Linked DNA regions of Danio rerio. The protein of the gene in region 2 purifies or fractionates together with the protein of the main gene of each other region. This does not show direct contact. Links are inferred from orthologs where the notes say so. Each region holds a gene or a part of one and is shown on either strand. Other genes may lie near its edges.

Evidence for each region.
Region 1: the proteins of vps45 (region 2) and rbsn purify together in Homo sapiens (affinity purification with mass spectrometry; 4 studies listed by BioGRID and IntAct, counting the BioPlex papers as one, with this or other methods). This does not show direct contact. The link is inferred for Danio rerio from reciprocal best matches to the Homo sapiens genes VPS45 and RBSN.

What each region holds. Positions count from the first base shown.
Region 1 is NC_133183.1:63,169,220-63,173,465, forward strand, and holds the start of rbsn (rabenosyn-5), read right to left. Parts: upstream 2,801-4,246; 5' UTR 2,638-2,800; exon of another isoform or gene 2,605-2,637; intron 355-2,604; exon of another isoform or gene 297-354; 5' UTR 202-296; coding exon 39-201; intron 1-38. UniProt on the Homo sapiens protein: Rab4/Rab5 effector protein acting in early endocytic membrane fusion and membrane trafficking of recycling endosomes. Required for endosome fusion either homotypically or with clathrin coated vesicles.
Region 2 is NC_133194.1:45,250,879-45,254,845, forward strand, and holds the start of vps45 (vacuolar protein sorting-associated protein 45), read right to left. Parts: upstream 2,814-3,967; 5' UTR 2,684-2,813; coding exon 2,591-2,683; intron 1,416-2,590; coding exon 1,281-1,415; intron 1,177-1,280; coding exon 1,116-1,176; intron 1-1,115. UniProt on the Homo sapiens protein: May play a role in vesicle-mediated protein trafficking from the Golgi stack through the trans-Golgi network.

The DNA of each region.
Region 1 (4,246 bases), on a different chromosome or scaffold from region 2:
AATAAAAGGAACACAAATCAGACTTAATTGCGACATACTTTTGAGCTGTCCGCCGACGTGCCGCGAGTCTCCGGCGTGCTCCTCCTCATAGTGGTCCTGCAGCTGGTAGAAGGACTGCAGATCTTTAAAACACAGCGGACACAGAAATCCCTCCTTCACCTCCGCCGAGTCCTCCAGTGACGGTGAGTAGATGGAGGCCATCGGCTACAGAGAACTACTGAAGCGCAGAGTCTGAGTCTATGCAGCAGCAGCAGCGCTGGGACAGCAGCAGAGGACGATCCATTCCCTCTCCATCACTGTAACACACACACTGATTTGTAGTTGTGAATTGTGGGGACATTACATAGGCTTCGTCTAGGTTGTCACAAAAACACACACACACACACACACACACACACAAACACAAACACAAACACACACACACACACACACACACACACACACACACACACACACACACACACACACACACACATATAGGTCCCCACCATAGACCTGATGCAATAAGGCACAAGGCATGCATGACGTGATTTGTTGCTATTATTAGCAGTATTATTTATTATATGCATATTTATATTTGCTTTAATAAACACAAGTGTAGATGTGTCCAGCTGTGGGGTTTTGGAGACGTCTGCATCAGCATATGGGGCATAAGAACAGGACGTGTGTTTGGATATAACTCAGTTTTCTGACCACACTTCATTATTATTGTTCATTTACGCCTTAAGTAAACATTACTTTGAAAAGATGCTGAATTTAAAAGAATTGAAACTTCACAGGAGGGCTAATCATTTTGTCTTCAAGTATTTGTATAAAAGCCCTGCACTATTATGCTTCATAACAAAAATGTCAATTTCATGCTTTCAATAAAACAGATTTCTGGTTCACTTTTAAGGTCAGGGAAAAATAAAGACTCATTAGTATTTAGTATATTTGCATATAATTTTGGTTAAATTGTAAAATGTATCTTGCTATCTTAAATGCAATCTTTAAAGGGACAGTTCACCCAAAACTGACAATTCTGTCATCATTTAATCACCTTTTACTTGTTAAAAACTAGTTTTGACTTTTTTCTTAAATTTATTTTTAAATTAATTAAAATAAATAAATAAATAAATAAATATATAGTTCCAGCACAAATTAAGCCATATATATATATATATATATATATATATATATATATATATATATATATATATATATATATATATATATATATACATACACATATATATATACATACACATATATATATACATACACATATATATATATATATATATATATATATATATATATATATATATATATATACATACACATATATATATATATATATATATATATATATATATATATATATATATATATATATATATATATATACACGCCGGATCTGGAACCTCTAAAATCTGATCTGACACCTCATTTTACCAATCCCCCTCGCTATATATATATAGTAATATATGTATAGTAATAAACAGCCATCGACTTCTATAGTATTTGGTGGTACTGTGGAAGTCAATGGTTTTAATTTTCAGCATTCTTCAAAATATCTTCTTTTGTATTCAACAGAAAAAAGAAACTAATAAAGGTTTGGAAACACTTGGGGAGGAGTAAATAGTGAGTAAAATTTCATTTTTGTGTGAACTACCCCTTTAAACTCCTCTTTTTAATGGCGTTTGTGATTGGTGCTAATTGGCATGAGGGCGGAGTCAACCTGTCACTCACATGAGATCCACCAATAACCAACTACAATCATCCAATCAATTAACCGCTGACAAAATCAAGCTCTGCCTACATTTGCTTTAGATCTAAAAAGTATATTAACGACAAGATAACGTTTATAATGATAAAATAAGAGTTTCTGTTTGAGTCTTTTGGATGAAGTTCCACTATAGCATATTATACAAGTCCATTTTATTTATTGTTTTCATCTGATGTTGGAAAACATTATATTTAACAATTATTTGATTACAATATTTCACTGCTTTTTCACTCACTCGTTCATTAATTATCAGTAATCTCTCTATGCTATGAACATATGTGTTTTTGTGTTGTCGTATTATTAGAAGGGTCATGAACACTGAATGAAATGAATAGGTTCCCATGAACATCATAATATAACAAGAGACGCAAATATAACACATAAGCAACGGATATTAAAAAATCTGAAGAATGTTAAAGCTGTAAACAATTACAAATTCACACGAAAAGTATAATTCTGTCATCATTTACTCAACCCAGTGTGGTCTGCATGTCAAAGTATTAGTAACAGTATAGATAGTAAACAGTATATACAGTAAAACATGTATATTATCTGTATATTATAATTTTTCTATAAAAAGCATAAGACAATTTCTTTGAAGAGATTAGTTTTTGCTTCTCTTACTAATGCTAACTTGCTATTATTGTGTGGATTTAAACGCTGTTGTTTTCAAATCTTTTATGTTCTAAAGAAGAAGTATGTTTTATTAAAATGACCCTAAAATACTTGCATTGGATGAATAAATAAATAGTATTAAGTAATAGTGAAATAGTCAAATACATTGTGTGTCCTCTATTGTAAACAAGCAGATTGTGAACAGGCCTCAGCTAAAGCACACTGACAGATGCCAAAAACGAACAATTATCTACCTTATTCATCGGAGACCCGCTTTGAGCCCTTTATCAAGCAATTAGCAGTAAATAGCGATAAATATCGATATTAAATAGGCTTTACGTGAACAGTAAAGCGCAGAAGATCATACTGATGATCGTGTGACTGTCCGTTCACTAGGCGTGATCACAGGAACAGCGCGCGCGCACGTCAGAGCGTCGTGTCAAAATAAAAGTCCCCTCTACTAGATGAGACACAGCTGCAGATACTCTCGTCAATATATAGCATATTTTTTGCGACATATTTTTACATTACTGTGACGGCTGGAGTAGGGTTGACGCTGATAAAATACAATTTAATGCGTGATTTATTTAATAATACAAATTATTATCGTTATAATTACTGTTTTAAAATTACTGTGATGGCTGGTTTTAGGGGTAGGGTAGGGTTAGCGGTAATAAAACACAATTTATTGTGTAATTAAATTAATAATATAAATAACTATCGTGTACCTGCGGCAGCAGCTGTATCATTTCTAGCAACAACCCTATTACTTTTATTCTATTGACGAAAAATTACCTACATCTTCAATTAGTACATTATTTGATTATAATAGAGTTAATTATTATTAGTAAATTACTTTTCATTTTGTGGGTGAACTGTCCCTTTAAATTTGAGACTGCCCTCCAACCTGAACCGTATGCAAACGTCCTGTTTAAGCAATATAATTTTTGTTTAATTTAATTATTATTAATGTAATGAGTTTCTCAGACACATATTTAATTCAAATTGTTTTAAATGCACATTTGTGAAACAGTCATAGATATCATTGGTATGGAGGACCAGGAGTGCCATTTAGAAATAAAACAAATAATAAATTCATCAATTTAATAGTTGAAGCATAGAAATGTATAAAAAATATGCCAATATAATTGAGCAAATGATGGACAAATAAATAGACGTAGTTAAATGTGTTTATTTAAATTGTGTTTTTAAAGGTCATTTAATAAAGAAATAAAGCGTTGCATTAAAAAATAATTCATGTATAAATAAATAGTTAAATGTTTATTTAATTCATCATTCAAGACACTGATTAATCAAACAGTAAAAAAGTATATTAATAAATATACTTCTAATAAGACATTTGACATTAATATAGCGCTTTTCTGGACACTCAAAGCGGTTTACACATTGGGGTAACATACACATCCTCATCCACCACCAGAGTGCAGCATCCACCTGGATGACCTGATGGCAGCCATATTGCGCCAGACCGCATATCACACACCAGCAGATAGGTGGAGAGGAGACAGATGATATGGGGATGATTTGGAGGCCATGATGGACAGAGGCCAGTGGGCAGATTTGGCCAGGACACTGTGGTTAAACCGCTACTCTTTTTTGAAGGACATCCTGGGATTTTTAACAACCACAGAGAGTTTAACTTCTCGGTTTAACGTCTCATCTGAAAGACGGCGCACACTGAGCAGTATAGAGTCCCCTTCACTATACTGGGGCATTAGGACTCACACGGACAACAGGTTGGGCGCCCCCTGCTGGCATCACTAACACCACTTCCGGCAACAACCTAGCTTCCCCATGTGGTCCCCCATCCAGGTACTGACCGGGCGCAGCCCTGCTTAGCTT
Region 2 (3,967 bases):
TACAATCACCGGCCACTTTATTAGGTACACCTTACTAGTACTGGCTAAGCCTTCGTGGCAGAGATTCAACAAGGTACTGGAAATATTCCTCAGAGATTTTGCTCCATATTGGCATGATAGCATCACACAGTTGCTGCAGGTTTGTCGGCTGCACATCCCTAATGCAAATCTCACTTTCCACCACATCCCAAAAGTGCTCTATTGGATTGAGATCAAGTGATTGTGGAGGCCATTTGAGTACAGTGAACTCATTGTCATGTTTAAGAAACCAGTCTGAGACGATTCACGCTTTATGACATGATGCGTTATTTTGCTGGAAGTAGCCATCAGAAGAAGGGTACACTGTGGTCATAAAAGGATGAACATGATCAGCAACAATAATCTGGTAGGCTGTGGTGTTGACACGATGCTCAATTGGTACTAATGGGCCCAAGTGTGCCAAGAAAATATCCCCCACACCATTACACCACCTACACCAGCCTGAATCATTCATAAGAGGCAGGATGGATCAATGCTTTGATGTTGCTGATGCCAAATTCTGACTCTACCATCTGAATGTCGCAGCAAAATAATAAATAAAAAAATCGAGACTCATCAGACCATGCAACGTTTTTCCAATCTTCTATTGTCCAGTTTTGGTGAGCCTGTGTGAATTGTAGCCTCAGTTTCCAATTCTTAGCTGACAGGAGTGGCACCTGGTGTGGTCTTCTGCTGTTGTAGCTTATCCACCTCAAAGTTGGACGTGTTGTGCATTCAGAGATGTTGCTGCATATCTTGTTTGTAACATACTTAAGTGCATTAAAGTTGCTGCCATGTGATCGGCTGATTAGAAAATTGCGTTAACGAGCAGTTGGACCAGTGTACCTAATAAAGTGGCCGGTGAGTCACAGATGTCTCATTTTTTTGACTACAGAACAAAACACTATATCTTGCTAAATAACTAGCAAAATTGTATGTACTGTCAAGACAAAATAAATAAATTATTAGAAATTAATTATATTTTAAAAAGTGTTGAAAAAAAATCTGTCTATTAAACATAACTCGGGAAACATTTAAAAAGAATAAATACTTCATGGGATGGCTTTTGTGTTGAACTGTAAATTACTTGCACTCACAGATGAAATAGACACTATATTTGGGCCGCCGAAGCTCTTGAATCAGGTGCTCTACGTTCTCCTGAAATCAAAGAGGGTGTGAAATATTATATAATAGAAGTATGAAATAATCTAGACATGTCTAGTCTAAATCAAAGACCATGATAAAACTAAAAACAGGTCTACCTTGGTCGGGCGGAGAAAGCATATCGCCTTAAGATGCTTCATGTTGTCTCGGTTTTGTGAGTCGATGCGCTCAAAAAGGTAAACTTCCTTCTGCAGGATCTCAGACTGTGTGTAGACCACGCTCACTATACTGGTCTAGAAAACAAATAAACAATGCTGTTTGGTACTGGTGTCTACAGGTTTGGAGCGAGATTAAATAAAGAGCAAATTGTGATTTTGGAAACCAGCATGGAAGTGACCAACACCCCTCTAAAACCAGCTTGGTTGACCAGCTTAGGCTGGTTTATACTGTTTTTTTTTTCAGTAGGGACATGACTTGTTTTAGCTATTTTGGTCCATTTAAACTTTGCAGTGTGAAAGCAAACTGCTCCAAGAGCAAAGAGCAACACTGTAACAATTTAATCCCTGTTTCTGAACAAATGAATCAATTCACAGGTGTGAAAGCACCCTAAGTGTAGTTTCCATCTCTTGATTCTGAAAAAAAAAGTAGCAAAAAAGGAATGATAGCGATATGTTAACTTTTATTGTTGTGATATCTCACAATTCTAACTTTTTCTTAGAATTTAGGCAAATGTATTTTTTCTTTTTAACATTTCTTATTTGAGAGATGAAAACAAAAACAAATTGTGACAAAAATTCAGAAGTATTTGTTTCCTCAGAATTTACTATCAGAATTATTTATTATTTTGAGTTTACATTTATTCATTCGACTTCGGCTTAGTCCCTTCATTCAGCGGAATGAACCATTAACTTATCCAGTATATGTTTTACACAGCGGATATGCTTCCAGCTGCAACCCAGTATTAGGAAACTACCATACACTATCACATTCACACACAGCCAACTTAGTTTATTTATTTAATCTATAGCGCATGTGTTTGGACTGTGGGGAAACCAGAGCACCCGGAGGAAACCCACACCAACACGGGGAGAACATGCAAACTCCACACAGAAATGCCATCTGACCCAGCAACCACTGAGTCACCGTGTCGCCCCTTGAGATTACATATCATTGTCCATAACAGTACGTCGTTATAATCAACCTGTATTAACCCTAACCTTTTTAAATTCTGCTTCACTATTTTATTGGACGCGAAAGTCCGAATATAAACTTTACCTCAATGTAACGTTAGCCTGCTGACTGCCATTTACTTCAGAGTTAAAGTTCAGTTGTTTGACACATGACAGGTCAGCAAACGCTATTTATACTATACAAAGTACTAGTTTATCTGTGGTTCATACATATGTGCGCTTTTATTATTGATCTTTAAAGCCTTTAAAACACAGTGGCATATCCTAAATTGACTCACCGTCTCCTTGTCCATCAGCAGCACCTTCATCCCAGGTCCGCTGCTCTCTATCATTTTGGAAATGTACTGTTTCACAGCAAGAGTCACGTTCATTTTGGCGTTTTATATATATATTCTACGTGTTACTGAGAATAAGTCGATTTATCAGATGGTTTCAATGTTGTTTAAAGGGTGAATAAAGCAGTTTTCATCAGTAAACTCACGTATACAGTTTACTGTTGACAATGGGAGAAGACCCACTAGTGCTTCCGGTGTACGCGAGGCGTCAGTCTGCTTCTGATCTGGGAACAGCTGGAATTTAAAACGATTTGAGGGTTTAGAATGGTCGTGTTGTGTAGTAACTGATCTGGTAGCAGTACATGACAAATATCCCATAATTCAAGGCTGCTACGTAAAACGGAGTAAATGAGGCGCCATGTTGGTGAGGGCGAAAGAGCGTTTCAGATGCTGTTAACTATTAGCTTCTATTATGTATTATTTTTATTGAATAAAAAATACATACATGATTAAAATGAATATATATATATATTAAAAGAAAAATTAAATAGATAAAATTAAATAGAGTAAAACAACTGCAGGATATGATTCAAATCCATAGCTTCTACTGTTTAGAAATTAGCTCATGAATTTTATGAAATTAATGTACTAGCTGTATTTCATTTCTAAAATGTTTTTCTTTAATATTTCATACTGTACGTTTTCAAGTTACTAAAATAATAAACCTAGTGCACTATTTATTTCTTGTAAACAAAGTAATAAAATCACATTACAATTAAACAATTTATTTCATAAAGTTCAAGTTCATTTATTTATAGAGCACATTTAAAAGCAGTCACAAGACTGACTGAATATAAAAACAGAAATAAAGCTAGAGAAACGTCTGTAAAATGTAGCAGTAGAAAGGACAATTAAAATAATCTCAAAAGCCAAGCTAAGGATGTATATTTTAAGAAGTGATTTGAAAATGGATAATAGTGGAGCCATTCTAATCTCAAGGGGCAAAGTGTTCCACAACCAAGGACCCGCCAAAGGAAAATTCTGATCACTTGACATAAGAGATCTCAGGGGAGTGTAAAAATGAAGCAGCTCTGAGAGATGGGATGGGGCTAGATTATGGAGGGATTTATTTACCAGTAAAAGCACTTTAAATCAATTCTGAATTGGACAGGCAGCCAATGAGGTCCTCTTAGAAGAGGGGGAATGTGGTCATGTTTTCTGCTATTACAAATAAATCTAGCAGCAGCATTTTGGACCAACTGAAGGCGAGAAACCTGGGATTTTGACATGCCACAGTAATGTGCATTGCAGTAGTCTAACCGTGATGTAATAACAGCATGGACAGCCTTCTCTAGAGTGGTGGGATTTAAAAAGTGTTTA